Oryctolagus cuniculus: one gene and its partners. The protein of the gene in region 1 purifies or fractionates together with the protein of each later gene. This does not show direct contact. Links are inferred from orthologs where the notes say so. Each region holds a gene or a part of one and is shown in the gene's direction. Other genes may lie near its edges.

What was found.
Region 2: the proteins of ARPC1A (region 1) and ARPC5 fractionate together in Homo sapiens (co-fractionation; 8 studies listed by BioGRID and IntAct, counting the BioPlex papers as one, with this or other methods). This does not show direct contact. The link is inferred for Oryctolagus cuniculus from reciprocal best matches to the Homo sapiens genes ARPC1A and ARPC5.
Region 3: the proteins of ARPC1A (region 1) and ARPC2 purify together in Homo sapiens (affinity purification with mass spectrometry; 8 studies listed by BioGRID and IntAct, counting the BioPlex papers as one, with this or other methods). This does not show direct contact. The link is inferred for Oryctolagus cuniculus from reciprocal best matches to the Homo sapiens genes ARPC1A and ARPC2.
Region 4: the proteins of ARPC1A (region 1) and ARPC3 purify together in Homo sapiens (affinity purification with mass spectrometry; 8 studies listed by BioGRID and IntAct, counting the BioPlex papers as one, with this or other methods). This does not show direct contact. The link is inferred for Oryctolagus cuniculus from reciprocal best matches to the Homo sapiens genes ARPC1A and ARPC3.
Region 5: the proteins of ARPC1A (region 1) and ACTR2 purify together in Homo sapiens (affinity purification with mass spectrometry; 9 studies listed by BioGRID and IntAct, counting the BioPlex papers as one, with this or other methods). This does not show direct contact. The link is inferred for Oryctolagus cuniculus from reciprocal best matches to the Homo sapiens genes ARPC1A and ACTR2.
Region 6: the proteins of ARPC1A (region 1) and ARPC5L fractionate together in Homo sapiens (co-fractionation; 7 studies listed by BioGRID and IntAct, with this or other methods). This does not show direct contact. The link is inferred for Oryctolagus cuniculus from reciprocal best matches to the Homo sapiens genes ARPC1A and ARPC5L.

The regions. Positions count from the first base shown.
Region 1 is NC_091450.1:41,594,033-41,597,532, forward strand, and holds part of ARPC1A (actin-related protein 2/3 complex subunit 1A), read left to right. Parts: intron 1-607; coding exon 608-715; intron 716-2,402; coding exon 2,403-2,615; intron 2,616-3,500. UniProt on the Homo sapiens protein: Probably functions as a component of the Arp2/3 complex which is involved in regulation of actin polymerization and together with an activating nucleation-promoting factor (NPF) mediates the formation of branched actin networks.
Region 2 is NC_091444.1:1,519,249-1,522,748, reverse strand, and holds part of ARPC5 (actin-related protein 2/3 complex subunit 5), read left to right. Parts: intron 1-2,303; coding exon 2,304-2,480; intron 2,481-3,500. UniProt on the Homo sapiens protein: Component of the Arp2/3 complex, a multiprotein complex that mediates actin polymerization upon stimulation by nucleation-promoting factor (NPF).
Region 3 is NC_091434.1:21,132,611-21,136,657, reverse strand, and holds the start of ARPC2 (actin-related protein 2/3 complex subunit 2), read left to right. Parts: upstream 1-1,247; 5' UTR 1,248-1,430; intron 1,431-1,647; 5' UTR 1,648-1,655; coding exon 1,656-1,729; intron 1,730-1,736; exon of another isoform or gene 1,737-3,078; intron 3,079-3,192; exon of another isoform or gene 3,193-3,975; intron 3,976-4,047. UniProt on the Homo sapiens protein: Actin-binding component of the Arp2/3 complex, a multiprotein complex that mediates actin polymerization upon stimulation by nucleation-promoting factor (NPF).
Region 4 is NC_091452.1:8,108,968-8,112,467, reverse strand, and holds part of ARPC3 (actin-related protein 2/3 complex subunit 3), read left to right. Parts: intron 1-1,801; coding exon 1,802-1,878; intron 1,879-3,316; coding exon 3,317-3,385; intron 3,386-3,500. UniProt on the Homo sapiens protein: Component of the Arp2/3 complex, a multiprotein complex that mediates actin polymerization upon stimulation by nucleation-promoting factor (NPF).
Region 5 is NC_091433.1:137,510,510-137,514,589, reverse strand, and holds the start of ACTR2 (actin-related protein 2), read left to right. Parts: upstream 1-1,280; 5' UTR 1,281-1,436; coding exon 1,437-1,484; intron 1,485-4,080. UniProt on the Homo sapiens protein: ATP-binding component of the Arp2/3 complex, a multiprotein complex that mediates actin polymerization upon stimulation by nucleation-promoting factor (NPF).
Region 6 is NC_091432.1:228,725,046-228,727,972, forward strand, and holds the end of ARPC5L (actin-related protein 2/3 complex subunit 5-like protein), read left to right. Parts: intron 1-289; coding exon 290-362; intron 363-897; coding exon 898-1,074; intron 1,075-1,257; exon of another isoform or gene 1,258-1,352; intron 1,353-1,901; coding exon 1,902-1,964; 3' UTR 1,965-2,427; downstream 2,428-2,927. UniProt on the Homo sapiens protein: May function as component of the Arp2/3 complex which is involved in regulation of actin polymerization and together with an activating nucleation-promoting factor (NPF) mediates the formation of branched actin networks.

The DNA.
Region 1 (3,500 bases):
CTCTGTAACTCTGACTTTCAAATACATAAATAAATCTTTTTAAAAATTGCATATTTAAAAAAAAGATTCAAGCTGTCCTAGCACACACAACGGGTGGTATTTGGGGTCGGGCTTAATTGAACATCCAAAGGGAGTGGAGGGTGGGGCAGGGCCTGATTGCCGCCCACTTCTGTGCCCTTTTTTGGATATATTGGAAGTGTCATGGCATGAGGTACGTGATGGGAATGGGAGTGTCCCCCACGGTAAGTAATTTGATTATAGTGACATTGTAATGGTCCACAGATGTTTGACCGCATCCTGCAGCCATATTGGATCGTTCCAGCTGGTGCTGGTCCTAGATTTGCAGCGTTGGGAACATGGAAGATAAGATTCAGGGGCATGGAAAGGAAAGGGGACTTGGGTGGTACATCTCGGGCCATCACTCGGGCTGTCCTGCCGGAAGTCGGCAGAGCTGTCACACACTGTGCAGGTTGGCTGGGGCTAACCTCAGCTCCTCTCTCCAGCTGCCTACCTTCCCACGTCATTTAGACGTGATACACATCTGTAGATTGCTTGGGGACTGTTGCTTGATGTGTAGATAAGCTATAATGATTTTCTCCTCTTGCAGGTGGGTAAGCAAACACATTAAAAAGCCAATACGCTCCACAGTCCTCAGCCTGGACTGGCATCCAAACAATGTTTTGCTGGCAGCAGGATCGTGCGACTTCAAATGCAGGTGGGCATGAGGGGAAGCTGATGGACTTGCTGAACATTGCTCCTCCTTCAGCGGGCACCGTGAGGGGCCCACGTGACAGGAGCTCGTGGTCCAGAAAAGGAGCCGTGCACAGGGACTAAAGCAGCGAGTGTGCACGTCACTGATGTCACTGATGAGGAAGGAAGCGGATGTGGAAGTGGGGGAGGAGGGAGATCAAAGGTGGGGCGGGGACAGCTTCCCTGGGCAGAATGTCCGTGGTTTCCAGTGTAGGGATAGGACGTGCAGACATGCTCTCTGTCGGTCTCTCTCTGTCTCCCTTCCTCCCCTTTTCTTCCTGTATGGCTCCTCTACAGCGTTATTTCTCCTTTCATACTCCAGGCAACAGAGTGCAAATTCCAGAGTGAAACTAAGATGAACAGAACAGAGCCAGACAGTGCACTGCTGAGCGGTTCCTGTGCTGTGCTGTCCTTGTCCTGGAAACGTGTTTGTTGTTAGCCTGAGGCTGGAGGCGAGGCAGCCACTTTGCTAAGAGCTTTAAGGGTCCTGTCGGGTAATTGCTTTATCAGGAAGGCCTTTCCGCCCACCCGTTAGCTGAAGAAAAGCACGGAGACGATGCCTCAGGTGGACTGGACTCCAGGGTGGGCGGGAGATAGGACACACCCTGAACCTGGCCGTGACTTGTATCCAGGGATTCTCAGGTTTTCAAACAGTTCCACGTGTGAGTGGTTCCAGGGGTGGGATTATGGTGGTGACAGTTCACTTCATATTCTGCGGTTTTGTTGGTGGTGATCTCTCTGCCAGAGTCCTTCTGACTCCCTTAGAAAATGGGAGGAGGTGGCACTGAACCCACCGTGTGGATTCTTGGGATCGACTGAAACGCCCGGTGAGGGAATAGGTTGCAGTCTTGTTGAGATCGATTTCCACAAATGGAGCTGCTTTGACACGGTCCTGTGGGGCCTGTGGGGCCTGTGGAGCCCGTGGGGCCTGTGGGGCCTGTGGGGCCTGTGGGGCCTGTGGGGCCTGTGGGGCCTGTGGAGCCCGTGGGGCCTGTGGGGCCTGTGGGGCCTGTGGGGCCTGTGGGGCCCGTGGGGCCTGTGGGGCCTGTGGGGCCTGTGGAGCCCGTGGGGCCTGTGGGGCCTGTGGGGCCTGTGGAGCCCGTGGGGCCTGTGGGGCCTGTGGGGCCTGTGGAGCCCGTGGAGCCCAGGACCACAGGTCCCTTCTCGGCGCTCGTGACAAAAGCGCTGCTGTTGTGATGCTGATGGGAAACGCAGATGCGATCCTGGCAGCATGTGACAGCATGGCGTTAGACTGACAGCTGACGCGCCAGCCTCGGCCCGTCTCATGCTGTGTGTCTCCCAGAGCTCCCACTGTCCTTGTCATCTGGGGTGGCGGGCACCCCCGTTCTTGTGGGAAGTTTTCAGGTTCAGAGGGGGTGAAATGCACACAGCAGCAGAGCATTGGTGGGCAGAGGGCCAGATTCCTTTGTCCCTTTCCCTTTCACGGAACAAAGAGAGAGAATTTGAAAAAGCCTGGTGACACCTGACTGTAGGACCCACCTTCGTCACAGAGGGTTCCGGCCACGGCGCCGGCCAGCACTGAGAGTTCTAATGAGTCAGCCTTGGGGTTCTGAGATACTTAGAGTGGCCTATTTGTATATACATGTATCTTCATCTTCTTTTTCCTTCCTTCTTTGCCCTTTGAATCACAGGGTGTTTTCTGCCTACATTAAAGAAGTGGATGAAAAGCCAGCCAGTACACCCTGGGGCAGCAAGATGCCTTTCGGCCAGCTGATGTCAGAGTTTGGGGGCAGTGGCACTGGTGGCTGGGTCCACGGGGTCAGCTTCTCTGCCAGTGGAAGCCGCCTGGCCTGGGTCAGCCACGACAGCACCGTATCCGTGGCCGATGCCTCAAAAAGCGTGCAGTGAGTATTTGCCTTTTGTTTGGGAGGTGCAGGCAGTGGGTGGGATTTCTCGCCCACCAGGCTGGGGCTGCCTCTGTCTGGTTGTACACACGGGACACAGGCATAGGAACCCCAGTGCAGTGTGCCAGGCAGCCTTGCAAGGTACACACACCCCAGCCTTAGATGAAACAGGACGTGTGTTCTTACCGCGTGCGGTCAGCCAGCAGTGACTGTTCATGGGGGCTCCCCACTTGTGTGTGCCGGAAGAACTGGAGGTGTGATGACTCACGGGTGACGGGGAGCCGCTCTGCCGTAGGCACCTCGTGGGGCATCGCAGCTCACGTCTGCTCACCTCGCGTCAGGGCGGGGGCGTTGGGATGCCTCTCGCCCTGTGACTGCCCTCCCTGGGGTCTTGGGTGTCTAGGGCCAGTCCCGCCGGGTGCAGCACAGACATGTTTCAGGGATGATGGCTTCTTCCTAACTGAATTGAATGTAGTTTTTTGGTTAATTTCATGTTTGTTTTTTTAAAGATATTATTATAAATGTGGTCTTCCAGAAGATTTCTGTACATTTCTAGGTTACATCTTTTTTCATTTTTTTCTAAAATGAGTACTTTATTAAAGTTTATTTTTTTGAGAGATGAGAACTCCCATCCACTGGTTTACTCCCCAAACGCCCACGAATGTCAGGGGCCAAAGCTGGAAGCCGGGAACTCAACCCCGGTTTCCCCCATGGGTGGCAGGAGCCCCACGGCTTGACAGGCTGGAGATTGCCGAGGGCCTCAGTTTCTGGGGGTCACCCCAGGGCCGCCTTGTGCTTGAGATTCCTGCGAGTCGAGGTCACGGGGCTCCTGGGTCAGCAAGCGTTCACTGGTGCTGTGGGGCCCCCCGGAGAACGGGCGCTTTG
Region 2 (3,500 bases), on another chromosome or scaffold:
GGGGAGGAGGTGACCTTAGATGTGCTGTGTGTGACAGGGGAGGAGGTGACCTTAGGTGTGCTGTGTGTGACAGGGGAGGAGGTGACCTTAGGTGTGCTGTGTGTGACGGGAGGAGGTGACCTTAGATGTGCTGTGTGTGACAGGGGAGGAGGTGACCTTAGATGTGCTGTGTGTGACAGGGGAGGAGGTGACCTTAGATGTGCTGTGTGTGACAGGGGAGGAGGTGACCTTAGATGTGCTGTGTGTGACAGGGGAGGAGGTGACCTTAGATGTGCTGTGTGTGACAGGGGAGGAGGTGACCTTAGATGTGCTGTGTGTGACAGGGGAGGAGGTGACCTTAGATGTGCTGTGTGTGACAGGGGAGGAGGTGACCTTAGATGTCCTGTGTGTGACAGGGGAGGAGGTGACCTTAGATGTGCTGTGTGTGACAGGGGAGGAGGTGACCTTAGATGTCCTGTGTGACAGGGGAGGAGGTGACCTTAGATGTGCTGTGTGACAGGGGAGGAGGTGACCTTAGATGTGCTGTGTGTGACAGTGGAGGAGGTGACCTTAGATGTGCTGTGTGTGACAGGGGAGGAGGTGACCTTAGATGTCCTGTGTGTGACAGGGGAGGAGGTGACCTTAGATGTCCTGTGTGTGACAGGGGAGGAGGTGACCTTAGATGTCCTGTGTGTGACAGGGTAGGAGGTGACCTTAGATGTCCTGTGTGACAGGGGAGGAGGTGACCTTAGGTGTGCTGTGTGTGACAGGGGAGGAGGTGACCTTAGATGTCCTGTGTGTGACAGGGGAGGAGGTGACCTTAGATGTCCTGTGTGACAGGGGAGGAGGTGACCTTAGATGTGCTGTGTGTGACAGGGGAGGAGGTGACCTTAGATGTGCTGTGTGTGACAGGGGAGGAGGTGACCTTAGATGTGCTGTGTGTGACAGGGGAGGAGGTGACCTTAGATGTGCTGTGTGTGACAGGGGAGGAGGTGACCTTAGATGTGCTGTGTGTGACAGGGGAGGAGGTGACCTTAGATGTGCTGTGTGTGACAGGGGAGGAGGTGACCTTAGATGTGCTGTGTGTGACAGGGGAGGAGGTGACCTTAGATGTCCTGTGTGTGACAGGGGAGGAGGTGACCTTAGATGTGCTGTGTGTGACAGGGGAGGAGGTGACCTTAGATGTGCTGTGTGTGACAGGGGAGGAGGTGACCTTAGATGTCCTGTGTGACAGGGGAGGAGGTGACCTTAGATGTCCTGTGTGACAGTGGAGGTGACCTTAGATGTCCTGTGTGTGACAGGGGAGAAGGTGACCTTAGATGTGCTGTGTGTGACAGGGGAGAAGGTGACCTTAGATGTCCTGTGTGACAGTGGAGGAGAGCAGAAGGTGGCTTTTGGAGCAGCTTTTCCAGAAAACACGGCTGTGTAATGAACGCCATTGTACCTCGCGTGACTAGCGGCTACGGGCCGTGAGACAGTCTCTTAAAATTTCAAAATAAGGAAGTGTTTAAAGTATTTCTGGGGGTTGGCGCTGTGGCTCACTTGGCTAATCCTCTGCCTACAGTGCCGGCATCCCATATGGGCGCCAAGTTCTAGTCCTGGTTGCCCCTCTTCCAGGCCAGCTCTCGGCTGTGGCCCAGGAGTGCAGTGGAGGATGGCCCAGGTGCTTGGGGCATGCACCCGCATGGGAGACCAGGAGAAGTACCTGGCTCCTGCCTTCAGATCAGCGCAGCGTGCCGGCCGTGGCGGCCATTTCGGGGGTGAACCAACAGAAGGAGGACCTTTCTCTCTGTCTCTCTCACTGTCTGTATCTGTCCAAAAAAAAAAAAAAAAGTATTTCTGAAAGATGATTCAAGGAAGAATTGCAAATCAGTTTTCTTGTTGTGTTTTCGTTGAGATAAAATGCAGTTGATGTTTTAATAAATTGTCAGATCGCTGTGGGCTCTGCCTGTGGACTGTCTACCCTCGGGCCCTGCAGTGCTAAGCGACACAGCCTGTCCACCCTGTCTGCCCTCGCTCCCGCCAGCTCTCCCTGCTCCTGCCGGTGCTCTCAGACCCTCCTCGTTCTCGGGGGGGGGGGGGGGGCGCCGGTCGCATGAGCCTCCTCTCCGCGCCCCTCTGGCTCCCCGCTGCGGTTCTGCCGTAGGCCCTGGGCACACTGGCAGCACGCGCCCCCTCTGGGCCTGACTGCTTTCCTGAGACACCGCGCTGTCCTGTTCCCGCCTGCGGGCCTCCGCCCGGGCTCCCCTCCCCAGCATGGCCCCCCCTGCGCAGGTGCAGCCGCACACTCAGGAGTCACTCTGTTGCCTCGTGTGTTCCCCCAGGACCGGGCAGGCAGCATCGTGCTGAAGGTGCTCATCTCCTTCAAGGCCGGCGACATAGAAAAGGCCGTGCAGTCCCTGGACAGGAACGGCGTGGACCTGCTCATGAAGTACATCTACAAGGGCTTCGAGAGCCCCTCCGACAACAGCAGCGCCGTGCTCCTGCAGTGGCACGAGAAGGTGAGCCCCGCCCGTCCGCCGCAGGCCCGTGCTCGGCCGTGCACCTGCGCACTGCCAGTGACGTCCGTCAGGGTGGGAATGAGAGTGAGGCGTCCTAGCCTGGCCTTCTCTTAGCACCGGGGTCTGATTTCCACACTTAAATTTATCCAGCAAACATAATCCTGAAGTTTGAAATCTTAAAACTTTGTGAAAGAAAGAAAGCAAGCAATAGAAACCATGAAGTGTTTCCTCTGACTGTGGTGGGTACAGCCCAGGGCGCGTCAGCAGAGGAAGCGTCTGTCCACGCGGGGGGTGGATGCCATGATGACGGCTGAGTGCCCGAGGCGCGTCTGTCCACGTGGGGGGTGGACGCCATGATGAGGGCTGAGTGCCCGGGGTGCGTCTGTCCACGGGGGGTGGACACCATGATGAGGGCTGAGTGCCCAGGGCGCGTCTGTCCACGTTGGGGGGTGGACGCCATGATGAGGGCTGAGTGCCCGGGGCGTGTCTGTCCACGTGGAGGGGTGGACGCCATGATGACGGCTGAGTGCCCGGGGCGTGTCTGTCCACGCGGAGGGGTGGACGCCATGATGAGGGCTGAGTGCCCGGGGCGTGTCTGTCCACGCGGAGGGGTGGACGCCATGATGAGGGCTGAGTGCCCGGGGCGTGTCTGTCCACGCGGAGGGGTGGACGCCATGATGAGGGCTGAGTGCCCAGGGTACATCTGTCCACGTGGAGGGGTGGGTGCCATGAGGGCTGAGTGCCCAGGGCGCGTCTGTCCACGTGGAGGGGTGGGTGCCATGAGGGCTGAGTGCCCGGGGCGCGTCTGTCCACGCGGGGGGTGGACGCCATGATGAGGGCTGAGTGCCCAGGGCGCGTCTGTCCACGTTGGGGGGTGGACGCCATGATGAGGGCTGAGTGCCCAGGGCACATCTGTCCACGTGGGGGGTGGACGCCATGATGAGGACTGAGTGCCCGGGGCGTGTCTGTCCACGCGGAGGGGTGGACGCCATGATGAGGGCTGAGTGCCCGGGGCGTGTC
Region 3 (4,047 bases), on another chromosome or scaffold:
TTATCCAAGGCCTGTACGTAAAAAAAATCTATTTTTAGAGACCAGCATTGTGGTATAGTGAGAAGAGGGTAAAGCCACAGTTTGAGACACCAGTATCCCATACGGGCACTGGTTCAAGTCCCATCTGCTCCGCTGTCCATCCAGCTCCCTGCTAATGTTCCTGGGGAAAAAGCAGAAGATGGCCCAAGTCCTTGGACCCCTGCACCCTCGTGGGAGACCCAGATGAAGCTCCTGGCACCTGGCTTCAGCCTGGCCCAGCCCTCGCTGTTGTGGCCATTTGGGGAGTGAACAAGCAGATGGAAAATCTCTCTCTCTCAAACTGTCTTTCAAATTAATAAACAAATCTGTAAAAAGAAATCTATTTTTAAAAGCTGTCTACCCCTTGACGATAAAGGCTGGATCTTTGCTCATTTTTTGGATCCAGTCCCGTCCCTACCCCACCCCACTCACCCCACCCCGCACCAGCACATAACTGAAAAAAACCATTGATGTAGAAGGGACTCAACTAAGCTTGTTACACTTCCTCTGGAGGAGGACAAATGCAAATCAAGGCACACAGGCAGAAGGTGCAGACGTGGTGTAAGGATCAGTTCAGATTCCGCAGGCAGATGAGTAGGAGCTATGTCTCCCGCGGGGGCACTGAAAGGTGAGGGTTGGAGGCAGAGAAAATTATGTTCTGCGCATCCAGGGGCAGCCCCTGGCACGGAAATGGAGGCAGCACAGGGGTCCAGGGAGGCCCATCTGAACTGCCTGTTAACCGAGGTGACTATGCATCCCTTTCCTTCGGTGCCTTTAAACAACATAACTGATCATTTGTTCATTGTGTTTCCTTTACCACAGTATAAGCTCCACGAGGGCAGGACCCTGTCTACCGTGTTCACTTCCGCATTCGCGGCTCAGGACAAGAGCCCACCATCTGTTGGGGAAATGAACGCACGATGGTGCGACGGACTGCCACCCGTCTGGAATGAGGAGGAGCCTCCACGACGCACAGGCCGACAGCAAAGAATCCTGCCGCGAGATAAGAGCGAGCTTCTTGCAGGACCCCTGACATGACAGAACCGGAAGAGTGGATTTGGAACTCTGGGACAAGCGGGAGGCAAGTTCCGGGAAGGACCGCTCGGTGGCTCGCGGAGACTTGATGGGGCGGGGGTGGGGCGCTTCAGTGGGAAAGTAAAGCGGTAGGAGGCCTTGCGCATGCGCAAGTGTGACCGCCTCGCCCCACCCCGGGCGCGCCTGCGTGCGCGTGCACGAGGGAGCCGGAGCGGAAATGGCGCCGCGGGGCCGCGCGTCCGGGCGGCGAGCGGAAGTGGGTGTGAGAGCGGAAGTGGCCGGCTAGAGCCGGGGGCTGGGCGGGGACCGGGCTTGTCGGTGAGGCGGCAGCGGTGGCGGCGGCGGCTCGGCAGGCGGGTTGAGGCTTCTGGGGCCAGGTCTGTCGGGTGGGTGGGTGTCTCCACAGTCCGTGCGTGCGCGGGCCGGCGCGCGTCCTCCCCTTCTCTCCACCCCGGCCCCTCTCCCCTCTCCCCTTCTCCCGTCACCTACCCCACCCAGCCCCCCTTCTCAGGGGGCACAGGGCCGCTCCCTGCGTCCTTTCCTCCTTTACCCACCCTGACCCGCCCTTGTTTCTCCTTCCCCTGTCCGGGGCAGCCGCCGCCATGATCCTGCTGGAGGTGAACAACCGCATCATCGAGGAGACGCTCGCTCTCAAGTTCGAGAACGCGGCCGCCGGGTGAGCGCGCGCCCCGGGGCTGGGGTTTGGGGCGGCGTGGAAGGCAGAGTTGACCCCCGCTAGTCCCCGGTGCTGTCCAGCTTCCCCCCCGGGCCTGGCGGAGGGAGTTGGGAGGCCTGGCAGTGTGTAGGGGCTGCCCCGGCGGAGAGACGTGGGAGGCGATTGGGCGCGGCGGGTGAGGGGCAGGGATGCGTGGGGTGAGGCTCGGAGGAGGGATGCGGAAGCTGCGAGTGGACCGGAGTGTGCGTGCCGAGGGCCAGGGGACCTGTGGGACGTGAGGGCAGCTCGGGCCGGAACTGGAGCCCGAGGAGCCCACTGCCCTCCGTGTCCCCGTCATTGTTCTGAACCCGGAGAGAGCCGGTTTGCGACTGGGCTGGAAGGAGTTTTCAGGAATTCCCAGGACTGGAGGAGGGAAGAAGATGCAAGCCTAGATCGCCACCGGCGTTCTCCATCCCGCCCCCACCCCTAAAGGGAGCCCGAGGGGGGACGGAAAGCAGACCCAGCCTTGCAGCCATCTCCCTAGCTTCCCTTCCCGAACCCTCCTGCGAGCGACAGGGGCCGTTCTGTTACACATGTCTCAAGCACAGCTAATAGTCCTGCACCCACACCCTTTCCTTATCTCTTCCAAGAGTGTCGGGCTCTCTCTGCAGCCTGCACCCCGCACACCCCGCAGCCTTTATCTGCCTGTTGGCCTTTTAAATTCTCATACAAGACCCCTGGGCTGTGATTTCTTCTGTGGCAATCCTTGGCCGGTTACACACTTCACTGCTTCCAGAATCTATGAAGTTCTTAGATAACCTCTTTTTTACCGTTGTCTGTGAAAGACGGGCTTTGATTTCCAAGGCAGCCTTCACTGTCAGAGAGCAGAATCAGTGGAAGACGATCAGCCGCCTCCCCCAGAGCACCTTTAAAACATGAGCCAAGGACTTGAATTCTAGCTTCGAATTTTTGGTGGCCTGTGGTCAGTCCCTTTGCCTCATTTCCGCATCCGGGACGATGGGGCTTCACATCTTGGTTGCACAGTTGAGGAAATAAGTACAAACTCTTTTTGGTGAACTGGGAACCAGTAATAGGAAAGTAAATGCTTGGAGAGCCACAGATGGGACAGGATTGGTGGAAGGGAAATTTAAGTGGTCATAATGAACTTGTGACTTGGGAGGTTTTTTGTTTGTTTGTTTTTTGTTTTTTTTTTTGTTTGTTTTTTGAGTACTGGCTCACTGCTTAAATTGAATGGATTGTGGTTCCCATCTCTTTTTTGTAAGAACACGAACTACTTTCCTTGGAAGCAGTGCATACAGTGAGCTGAACGGTTTCCTGCCAGGGCCTGCCTGCAGTTGCTGATATTTCAGGTTAACTCAGTTCTTACTCTCAGCCCCTCTTACCAGTTCTTTGCATTTTAAATACTCAAGTGACTCAGTCCGGGATCTCATTTTGGGTGATTGCTCTGTGCTTTTTCTGAGCAGTGCACTGCACATAGGAGGAAGTTGACTTCACTTCTGCATTTTCACAACTGATCTCAATGCATTCTCAAGTCCAGACTGGCCAGGAATGAGACCTGGGTGGTTATGAGCTGATCTGCAAGATAAATGGCTGTGTGTCTGCAAGTAGAAACATGCCTTTTAGTGTAAGAGTACTTTCACATCTATTTGTGTATTAATAACCTGTGATTCCAAAATGTGTGGCCCATTCAGAACTTCAGTTCTTTCTTATAATTATTTTCAAAATAGCAGTTAATCATTTCAGAGGGATTAAAATGGCCCTCAATTTGGAAGGCATAGATTAGAGCTTGCAGGACTTTTTTAATAGACAGACATTGGTGGTGAGGTTGTATGGGGGCAAGGGTTGGGGTTGGCTTTTATTCCAGCCCATCTCCCCTTTGAGATCTGGCTTTCAATACAAGAGCCCAGACCATTCTGTGGAAAGTTTCGTTGAATCTTTTGAAAAGAGGCCGAGATACTCTGTGATACTCATGCCTAGGAGGTCGGGCATTCCTGGGGTTGCAAGTACAACGCCAGCAGAACACGGTGCAGCAGAGTGTGTTCCCAGGCACCCGTAAGAGGAGGCAGCAACGAAGCTGTGTTTGTCAGGGTGCTGCCCACGAGCTCAGCCCAGGGTGGCGGGGGCGACCATCATGAACACATGGGATTCTACCAGCGCTCAGCACCAGGCAGCAACTGATGCGGCGGGAGGTCTTTCTAAGAGAGCACATTAGCAACAGAGCTAAGAGGTGCAGACATTAAAGAAAGGTAATAGCTTGGAGGAGAGCCGTGGGGGATTTAAAAGGCTTTGCCATTGTGGGAACCTGCTGAAAGAGGTCT
Region 4 (3,500 bases), on another chromosome or scaffold:
TCTCTCTCACTGTCCGCTCTGCCTGTCAAAAAAAAAAAAAAAAGATACTCATTGAACTCCAGACACGCTCTCAAGATAAAAATCTTGGGCTGACACCAAGGCTCAACAGGCTAATCCTCCGCCTAGCGGCGCCGGCACCCCGGGTTCTAGTCCCGGTTGGGGCATTGGATTCTGTCCCCGTTGCCCCTCTTCCAGGCCAGCTCTCTGCTGTGGCCTGGGAGTGCAGTGGAGGATGGCCCAAGTCCTTGGGCCCTGCACCCCATGGGAGACCAGGAGAAGCACCTGGCTCCTGCCTTCGGATCAGCGCGGTGCGCCGGCCGCAGCGCACTGGCCACAGCAGCCATTGGAGGGTGAACCAATGGCAAAAGGAACACCTTTCTCTCTGTCTCTCTCACTGTCCACTCTACCTGTCAAAAAAATTAAATAAATAAATAAATAAAAGGATAAAAATCTTAAGGGGTCGGCACTGCGGCATAGTGGGTAAAGCCACAGCCTGCAGTGCCAGCATCCCTTAAGAGCACCGGCCCCTGCTCCTGTATGGGAGACCCAGATGAAGTTCCTGCCTCTTGGCTCCTGGCTTTGGCCTGGACCAGCTGGCTGTTGCGGCCATCTGATGAGTAAACCAGCAGGTGGAAGATTCTCTCCTTCTCCCCTACCCCCGTAACTCTTTCAAATAAATCTTTAAATAAAAAAACAACAACAAAAAAAAAACCTGGTGCTGGCGCTGTGGCATAGTGGGTAAAGCTGCCACCTATAGTGCCATATGGACACTGGTCCAAGTCCCGCTGCTTCACTTCCGATCCAGCTCTCTGCTGTGGCCTGGAAAAGCAGTAGAAGATGGCCCAAGTCCCTAGGCCCCTGACCCCACATGGGAAACCCAGAAGAAGCTCCTGGCTTCAGATTGGCCTAGCTCTGGCTGTTGGCAGCCATTTGGGGAGTGAACCTGCAGATAGAAGTCCTCCCCCGCACCCCCCCCCCCCACCTCTCTCTAACTCTGTCTTTCAAATAAAACAAATCTTTTTTTTTTGGACAGAGTGGACAGTGAGAGAGACAGAGAGAAAGATCTTCCTTTTCCATTGGTCACCCTCTAATGGCCACTGCAGCCGGCACACCGCGCTGATCCGAAGCCAGGTGCTTCTCCTGGTCTCCCATGGGGCGCAGGGCCCAAGCACCTGGGCCATCCTCCACTGCACTCCCGGGCCACAGCAGAGAGCTGGCCTGGAAGAGGGGCAACCGGGACAGAATCCGGTGCCCCAACCGGGACTAGAACCCGGTGTGCCAGCGCCGCAGGTGGAGGATTAGCCTATTGAGCCACGGCACTGGCCAAACAAATCTTAAGAAATAAAAATTAACTACATACTTTATTTTCTAGAAATTGTTTTACAGGTTTTATTTTAATAGCTTCATTTAAAAAAATTTTTTTATTTGAAGTGCAGAGAGAGATTTCCCATGTGCTGTGTTTCATCTCCAAATGCCTGCAGCAGCCAGGACTGGGCTAAGCCAAAGCCAGGAGCCTAGAATTCAGTTCTGGTCTCCCTTGAGGGTAGTAGGGACCCAGCCGCTCCCGGGAAAAGGCAGGGAGCAGAATGGAGAGACACAGGCCTTCTGATACAGGATGTGGGCGTCCCAAGCAGTAGCTAACTGCTGTGCCACGTATGTGCTCCCTGCTTTAATTTTATTCACCTATAGAATTGTTGACAGTTGATCCTGGATTTATTTTTTTTATGGTTTTTACAGGCTAAATTACAGTTTGCAGTTGACTGATTTTTTCTTCCCTCCTTCCCCTTGTTATCCTGCTTAGCAAAAGATACGGATATTGTGGATGAAGCCATCTATTACTTCAAGGCCAATGTCTTCTTCAAAAACTATGAAATTAAGGTAAATGACAGAGCTTTTAATATTTCACTTTAATTTTCTGATTAGGGTAATCTCTACACTGCAATGAGTTGCCATGAAGAGAAAATGCGATGTGAAATTGTGATTCTTAAATTCTAGAACACTGTCTGGTATTAGATTCTGTGAAGATACTGGTTTCTTTTTCTTCCTCCAAAGTCTGTACCAGGGTTGACAGACTACAGCCTGAGGACTGAATCTGGCCCATGGCTTCTCGTAAATAAAATGTCATTGGAACACAGCCTGGCCCTCAAAGCCTAACTTGTTTGGTTTCTGGCCCTTTGTAGAGAAAATTTGCCAATTCTGGTGTAAAGACATTTTAGCATTAATTTAGCACCTACTGTGTGCCAGGCCTGGTGGGTAGCATTAGCCCACAAGTGAGAAATCCTCCTGGCTGTGTAATTTTGTTAGTATACGTGTGTGCCCTGAACCTGAGAAGGGGAAGTAGAGACTTGAGCGACCCTGGTCCTGCCCCACTCTCCCCTCTCTCCTCAGTTCCTGTGACGAGGGAAGGAAGGGGAGGGTCACGGACGAGGAGGAGGGAAAATGGAAACCAGGTTTCCTGAGCTCTGCTCTCCAGGTTACCAGGAACGGCGGTGAGATGAACTTCAGCCTCCTCCTTGCCAACTTTGACCTTTTGAAATCAAGCAGGATGTAAAATCTTTATTTATAGATTCCTGATCTATAAATTGTAGTCCAAACATTTTGTGATATTAACAGAGTGTTTTCTTTGTCAAATACATGGCCCACATGCTGTGTTTGTAGTAGGTGTAAATAAATATTATTCTACCACACTTTATTTCCTGGTCTTAAAAACAGGGAAACGTGTAGGTTTCTTTTTGTTTTTTCAGCTATAAATACGAGCAAAATGTGATCTCACGTCTGCCACATTGGATCAACATCCGTTCGTCTTCTCCACTTCTCCTTTTGCTTAGCTCAGGACGCCAGGCTTAGGGAGTTCTTCAAGAACATGTCACACGTGAAGTAATTGCTTCCTCTTTTAGAGTAATGAATGTTTCTGTTCTTGGCAGAGATCCTGAAATGAAAGGGTTTTTAAAAATTGGCCAGCCATATGGTGCACCTCAGGTTATTCAGGCAGCCTTGTTCATTCTCCTTCCTACGCAGGGTGAGGGGCTGTTGGCACAGCTCCCCGGGACCGGGGGTGAAGGGAGCTGAGAACAAGAGCCTCCACAGAGCTCGGGTGGAAGCCCTGGCCCTGCCCGCGTGCACAGAGGGAAGCCTGACTGGGAGAAGGGGCCTCGTGTGCCGCAGCAGTATATGTGTGTGCCCTGAACCTGAGAAGGGGAAGTAGAGTCCAGGCTTTCAGTAGATCATCCGGAGATGAAGATTGATTCCATTTGTTGGACGGAACTGCTAGGTTTTCGTCTGTACTGTTTGCTGAATGTTCTTTTCCTCTCTGTAGAATGAAGCCGACAGGACCCTGATATATATAACTCTCTACATCTCTGAGTGTCTAAAGAAACTCCAAAAGGTAATGGATTAAGCTCGGGAGAGTGCCGACAGTTGTTTATACTCCCAGTCGTTTTTTGTGTGTCGCGACTCCAAGGACAGCTAGGAAATACTCCCTTAGACTTGGACATGATCTG
Region 5 (4,080 bases), on another chromosome or scaffold:
TACTTATTTATTTTTAATCAATTTTATGTGTTGGGGTTCCAAATAAAATTAAATATGAACAAAACACTCAATGCCTTTAGAAGTGTTGAAAACCACTGGTCTAATAAAAGAACAAGGTGAAACTGATAGGCAGCTGCTACTACTATTACTAAAATAATTGGGGGGAGACGTGTGATCCAATTCTAGTTGTTGGATGTGTAGACATGTGGAAGTCACAATTTTAGTTCTCATCTCTCAAAAATGATGCAATGCTTTCTATGAGTTTTAACGTCATTCATTCAATAAATATTTGTTGTGTGTAATAAACACAATGATGTTATTCACAACTCCATGGGAAAGCAATAGCAAAGGCAGGGGTAAAGAACATCTTGGGGTACCAGCAAAGGAGTCAGAGATGGGACAAGCTTAGCATATGAGTATTAGTTTGACAACTGGTTAAAAAGAGAGAAAGTAGGGACATTATAGGTGGGGAGACCCACAGGTTCAAAAGTACAGGATTAATAATAAATGGCTACCCCTGAATGAACGTGTCCTCTAGGCACAGAATTCTATCCTCACAACAACCCACAGACGTATTACTACCATGCACAGACCAGGTTTTGTCCAACAAGACTCGTGAATGGTCGGGCCAGATCTGAAACTGGGGTTGTCTGATTTCAGAGCCCAGGTTCTGGGTTCGATCAGGCACGCGTAGTGAAGAGGGGTGAAGCAACCTGCGGCTACTGGAGGAGGAAGTGGTGGGCGACAAGGCTGCGAATGCAGGCACCTAGTCGACTGTAGACGACTCGGGAAGGCTGTGGAGGTAGCAAATGCATGAGCTCCAAGAAGTGTGGGTATATCCATCCCAGCTCGGGGCACTGAATGGGTCCAGCGGCAACGACGCACTAATTAAGCCATATTCAAGGGGGTTCACAAGGACCTCCGGGTTTGCTTCCAGCCGCCCCGGATGGCCCCTCCGTCACCCTCCACGGCCTCCTCGTGGAGATGTCTTCCACGCGGTGTCTTCCACCTTTCTGCGTCCTCCAGAGTCCGTTAAACAGCGCCCTTGATCCATGCCACACCTTAGGGAGAAAGCCGCAGCTTCCGCGACTTCCGCCGCCATTAAATCCCCACGAAACACCGAACACCAGACGCAGCTTGAGAAAGACCTGCCTGCTCCGCATCCGTGACAGCGGAGCCCTAGCCAGGCCCTCGGGCGGGGCCCCGGCGCTTCTCTGTTTATGATTGGTGCACACAGCTGCCATTCGCGGCCTTCTACGTTCCGTCCCACCCCTTCCGCGCAGGCGGTCAGCTAAATGACGGGCGGGACCGGCGAAGACTTCCGGTTGGGGGAAGAAAGTTGGGGCGAAGGAGGGGCAGTGAAGGAGGAGGAAGAGGCAAGAGCAGGGCGGCGGCGGCTGTAGGTTGTGCGACGGCGGCTCTCCTCCGGACGGACGATGGACAGTCAGGGCAGGAAGGTGGTGGTGTGCGACAACGGCACCGGGGTAAGCGCCTGGACGGGAGGCCGCGGCGGCCACAGGCCTGGGCGGGGATGTTCAGGCGTCGCGAGGCCCTCGGCGCGGCACCTCTGGGCCCTCGCGGCTAAGGGGAACGGGGCGGCACTCCCCGCTCGTGCGGGTGTCGGGAGCGAGCGGGTGGGGCGCTGGTTTCTCCAGAACCTTCCCTCCCGGTAGCCCTGCGGGTCTGGGCGGTGGGCGAGCCCGGGGCGGGACGCCGGTCCCACCTGCCGCCCGCGGGGGCCGGCTTCGTGCACAGAGAGGGGTGGGGTTTGCAATTTGGCTCGAGTGCGGAAGGGGTTAGAGGCTGGGTTCGTGTTTTGGGAGAGGGGCTGCAGCCCCAGGGTCGCGGGTGTGTAGAATGGAGAAACACCTAGAGGCCTTCCTCTTCCTGTCTAGTTGAAGATGCGGAACGCGAGGCAGGAAGTGGGCTCACTGAAGAAAAGGGAAGTGCTGTCATTCAGGGGGCTACGGCCCTTTCTCAGTGTTGCTGCATTTTGTTGATTTGCTTTGGTTTGTTGGTTTGCTTTGGTGTTATCCCTCTTTCTTCTCGGAGCGAGGAGGCGGCTAGACCAACAGCACAGCGTTTGCCCTGTGTTCTCCATGCTGGTAGTTTGGCTCAGGTGCAGCCCTGCAGAGACCAGCGTGTTCTGTTGGATGACTTTGGGGGATCTGGGACCGGCGAGCCCAAGTGTTAATCCCATTGACCTGGGGGAAGTTCAGTCCCCGCCCCCATTTTCCTCCATTAGGTTCAGAATACAGATGATGGTAGTTTTCAAATACCGTAAAAACGTAAAGCACTGATTTAGAAACCATTTGAAAGTTGCTTTAAAAACGTTTAAAAGATGCATTTTGGGTAGCAAAGTCGGCAAATGAGATGCTTACTTATTTTTATGAGTTCTGTGGTGATTGCCGAAACTATTTTTGTGTTGCAACATTTTGTGACTTTTCTCTCCTCCCTTGCGTAAATGCGACATATGACTTAAAATAGATTTTACTTGAACTTTAAAATACTTTGGAAACGGGGGAAAAAAAAAAAGCTGGTATGCATTGAGGTAACTGCCACTGCCCTGCACTGAATTTATTAGATTTTTTACAAGCAGTAATTATACTGGCTTCATCTGAGTATTTAGTACTACAGTAAGAATGTTACAATGGCGTGTCCATAGAAAACACTTTAAAAAAGGAGGCAGATGCACTGCTATGGAGATGTATCTAAAGACAGACTTACTGTTAAATTACAGACAAGTTTATGATTCCACTTACGTGAGTGTTCTTCATTAAAAATACTTACCTGTCCACAAACTTCTGCCTGTGTGTTGAAGTTTTGGTGGGAGACATAAGAAATGGTGCCTGTGAGACAAGGAATAAGGGAGTTAAGAAAGACAGGGAAAACTTCACAACCCTTCTGAATTACTGGGAAAATGTTTCTTAAAGCAGATGTTGCTAAACTATATTTAAATGAAGTCAACTATAAACATGTTATTTTTACAATTAATACTCAGTTAAAGATGCTTTTAGAAAAATATTAGCTTGATTTCCATTTTAGTCTCAAGTTCTAAGAAAATTTAAAAATTTAAAGCTTTAAAAATTAAATTTAAAATACTTTGTTTTGTGACTGTCAAATACTTTTAGAAACTCTATCCAATAATATTTATATGGATTCCTCTGAGTGGCTCTAGATAAAGAATCCTTTATGTATTTATAGAATATGGGAGCTTTTGATGTTAGAATGGGAATGTTAGCCATAGCTAATTTTTATGTTACTATTTTGTTTAGCTCACATTAAAAAGCTGATTGTGTATATTGTCAGTTAGTCTTGTATCTAGTTCATAGTTTAAAAATCCTGTTCCTTAACACAAAAGATGAGTTATTGCACAAATGAAAAAAATATAGTTAATCCAAATAAAAACTGATGTGTTTGGTGTTATGCTTCTGATTAAAGTTTTGTCTAGGTTTTTTTATAGATATGATTGATTTCAAAGAAGAAACAGTTTTGATAAAGTATGTCAGAGGTGCATTTGGTACCTTGTTCAGGCCACTGCCTGGGTTGCCTGCATCTCACATCTTAGTGCCTTGGTTCAAGTCCTAGCTCTACTGCTGATACCAATTCCTGTTGGTACACAACTGGGAGGCAGCAAGCAGGTGATCACCCAGGTAATTGGGTCCCTGCCATCCATGTTGGAGACCTGGAGGGGTTCCCAGCTCCTGGCTTCCATCCGGCTGAGACCCAGCTGTTGGGGGCATTTGGGAAGTGAACTAGTGAAGTTTTCTCTATCTGCCTTTCAAATATATAAACTTTTTTTTTTTTAACAAAGTGAACCATATGACAGGAATGCTGTGATGTTTCTGAAAATTTACACATCTGGAAACCTCTTAGATTGTATGTGTGTGTGTGTTTACTACTTCTAGACATGAAGAGTTGCCTTGATTTTATTTAGGTATCTGAAGTTATAATTATTCTTCTAAAATTAAATGTTAAAGAAGATACGGAGGCCGGCACTGTGGTATAGTGGGTAAAGCCATTGCCTGCCGTGCTGGCATCCCATATGGGCACTCGTTCGAGTCCCAGCTGCTCCACTTC
Region 6 (2,927 bases), on another chromosome or scaffold:
CGGTTGTGCCTTCCTGCTTCCCTTTGTAGAGAGATGAGAGAGGCCTGTGAGTGCCCGGTGGGGGCAGGTGGGGCGCTGGGCGGGGCCCCTGGGACCTCACTGCAGTTGGCCCTTAGGGGCAGCTGCTTTGTGGGGAGGCAGAGAGGCGCTGCCTGGGGCTCAGGCAGCTCCAGGCTGTGAAGCAGCTGGGCCTCGGGATCCTCGTGAAGCGCCCCGGAGCGGTTCGGATTGGGCCCACGGTGCGCGCGGACACGCTTGGCCTGGCTGACCTTAACGGATGCTGGTGCACAGGGGACATGCTTCGGGCGTTCCACGCCGCCTTGCGGAACTCTCCGGTCAACACCAAGAACCAGGCTGTGAAGGTAAAGGGGCGGGGCAGGGCCCCGTCAGTGTGTGCAGCTCCCGAGGGCCTCCCTCCGGGGACTTGGCCCTGTTCTGCTTCTGTGGGCTCTGAATGCACAGGGAATTTACGGCTTCTCAGAGTCCTGTTCACACGGCCTGGAAAGAGGACAGATTACACTGCTGGCTGCGGCCTCCTCGATGCCGGGACGTGGGTCTTGACGGGGGCCGCAGCGAGTCAGCCTGTGTTCTCGAAGGGGCACCTCCTCCTCCACCGTCCGATCCTGTGGGGCCTCGCGCCTTGCTGGCGCCTGCCCAGGAAAGCACCTCCTCCATGGGAAGTGGAGGAACTCAGTTACTCGGTCATCGACAGGCAGTACTGCGTACTCTGAGCCAGTGGGAGAATCTTAGCCCACTTTTTTTAAAAAGCTGTCTGATCCTAGATCGAGTTAGAAACTGGGCAGTGCTTCTGGCGAGCTCCTCCCACTTGTGCCTACAGTGGGGCAAGGATGGGCCCGGCTGTGGCTCTGGGCCTCACGCGCGCTCTTTCCTCTGCAGGAGCGAGCCCAGGGCGTGGTGCTGAAGGTGCTCACTAACTTCAAAAGCAGCGAAATTGAGCAGGCGGTGCAGTCTCTGGACAGAAACGGCATCGACTTGTTAATGAAGTACATTTATAAAGGGTTTGAGAAGCCCACGGAAAACAGCAGTGCAGTGCTGCTTCAGTGGCATGAAAAGGTACGTGGACATGCCGGCCCCGTGCCCAGCCCCTGCCTCACCCCGGGCTTCAGCAGGCGCCCTGCGAGAGCCGGGGCCAAGCCTCCACTTGGGACCCTTGGTCCCCTCCCCCTCCCAGGGAAGCACCTGGTCGGGCTCTGCTGTCTCTGGTACACTCACTTTATAGCTGCTGCTTTGTGCCAGGCAGGACAGGGGGCCCTTGCTGTGTGCCATGGGTGCAGGTGACCAGGCGTGGTGTGGAGTGGCAGGGATGCTTCCTGGCTGGCTGGCGCGTCATGGTACTTTCTTTGCATTGGTGGAGTCAACTGCTGGGTGAGTGGGGTGGTCCTAGGATGAAGGCTGAGCCTCCTCGCCAGCTTGGAGGGCTTCTGGCCCCGGCCTCAGCAGGCCAGAGCGTGCAGTGGGCAGCAAACACGACAGTCATTTACCATGGCCTCGTCCGCCTGCCGCTCTTCACCTGGGTGCCTTCCGTCAGGCCTGCGTGCCCACTGCCCTGCCCCGCATGCCCCCTTGACAGGGGTCAGGCGCTGGGGGCGGGGCGAGCAGTCCCCCTGCGCGGTGTGGAGGCCACTCCAGTGGGCCGGTGTGCGTTCCTGTGCCTCGGGCAGCGCTGGCAGCCTGGAAGCGAGGGACTTGCTGAGAGAGGAACTGTGGCTCTGCCGGGCGTGCACGGTGCCTGGGCCCGGGCCACTCCTGCTGCCGGAGGCGGTGGTCACGTCGCAGGAGTCCTTTCTCCGAGGGTCGGCACATGCGGTCAGGCTGGGGGGCGTGGGCCCGTCGTGGCCAGCCAGGTCTCACCTGACACATTTCCTTTTCCTGCTCCGCAGGCCTTAGCAGTAGGAGGACTAGGCTCCATTATTAGAGTTCTTACAGCAAGAAAGACTGTTTAAAAGTCAAAGGACTTGTTACCTCGAGAACTTTGGATGCCCAGGCCGGTGCAGAAGGGACTGACAATGGACCACCTTCCTAGGAGCGCCCGACTCGACTCTTCCAGGACTCGTGGCCGCTGAAGTGTATTTTATTTTCAAGGTGGAGGGAGAAATCGTCTGTTTCCCAAATCCTCTGCAGGACCTGATCGTCTCTTTTGCCTTCGTCTACACAGTACTGCAGAACGGGCACTGGGACCGGACAGAGAGGCTGGCCAGCACTGGTCAGGTGGAGCTGTGCGTGCTGCTGGCTGAGGCTGGGGGAGGGATGGTTTGGGCAGGTGCAGACCCAAGGGCTGTGGTGAAAGGGACAGCTTGTGGGAAAACCCGAGTTTGTACAGACCCCTGACCTCCCGGGAAGGTGGGCTCTCGGGTTCGTTGTAAAGTGCCTGCTGCATCAATAAAGCTCTTGGCTTCTTAGTATACACATCGCGGTGTCTTGTCTCTGAAAGGTAGGGTGGGATGGGATGGGAACGAGAGAGTTTGGCTGTTCCAGGAACTCTGGACGGGCTCGAGAGTGTCCCTGCTTGGCCGCTGCGAGCCTCGGCTGAGAGGTTTGCTCAGTAACTGTTGTTCCTCACTCCTTTGACCTGGGTGTCACTCTGGAGCTCACTTAAGCGAATGCAGAGCCAGGCATTTGATGATCAGTCAGGTCTTCAGTCTGTGACTACACTTGGTCTGCGCTGAGGGTGGGCCTGAACACCCCTGGTTCCCAGCTCCGGCTCTGCTGGGTGCAGCAGCAGCGTGAAGCATCAGCAGGTTTTCTTTTCTTTAAGTATTTATTTGAGAGGGAGAAAGAAGCTGAATGAGAGCTTCCATTTGCTGCTTCACTCCCAAGTCCTGCCGTGGGCCCAAGCTCAATGCAGGCCCCCACGGGGGTGGCCAGGACTCAACAACTGTTCAGCATCGCTTCCGCCTCCCAGGGTG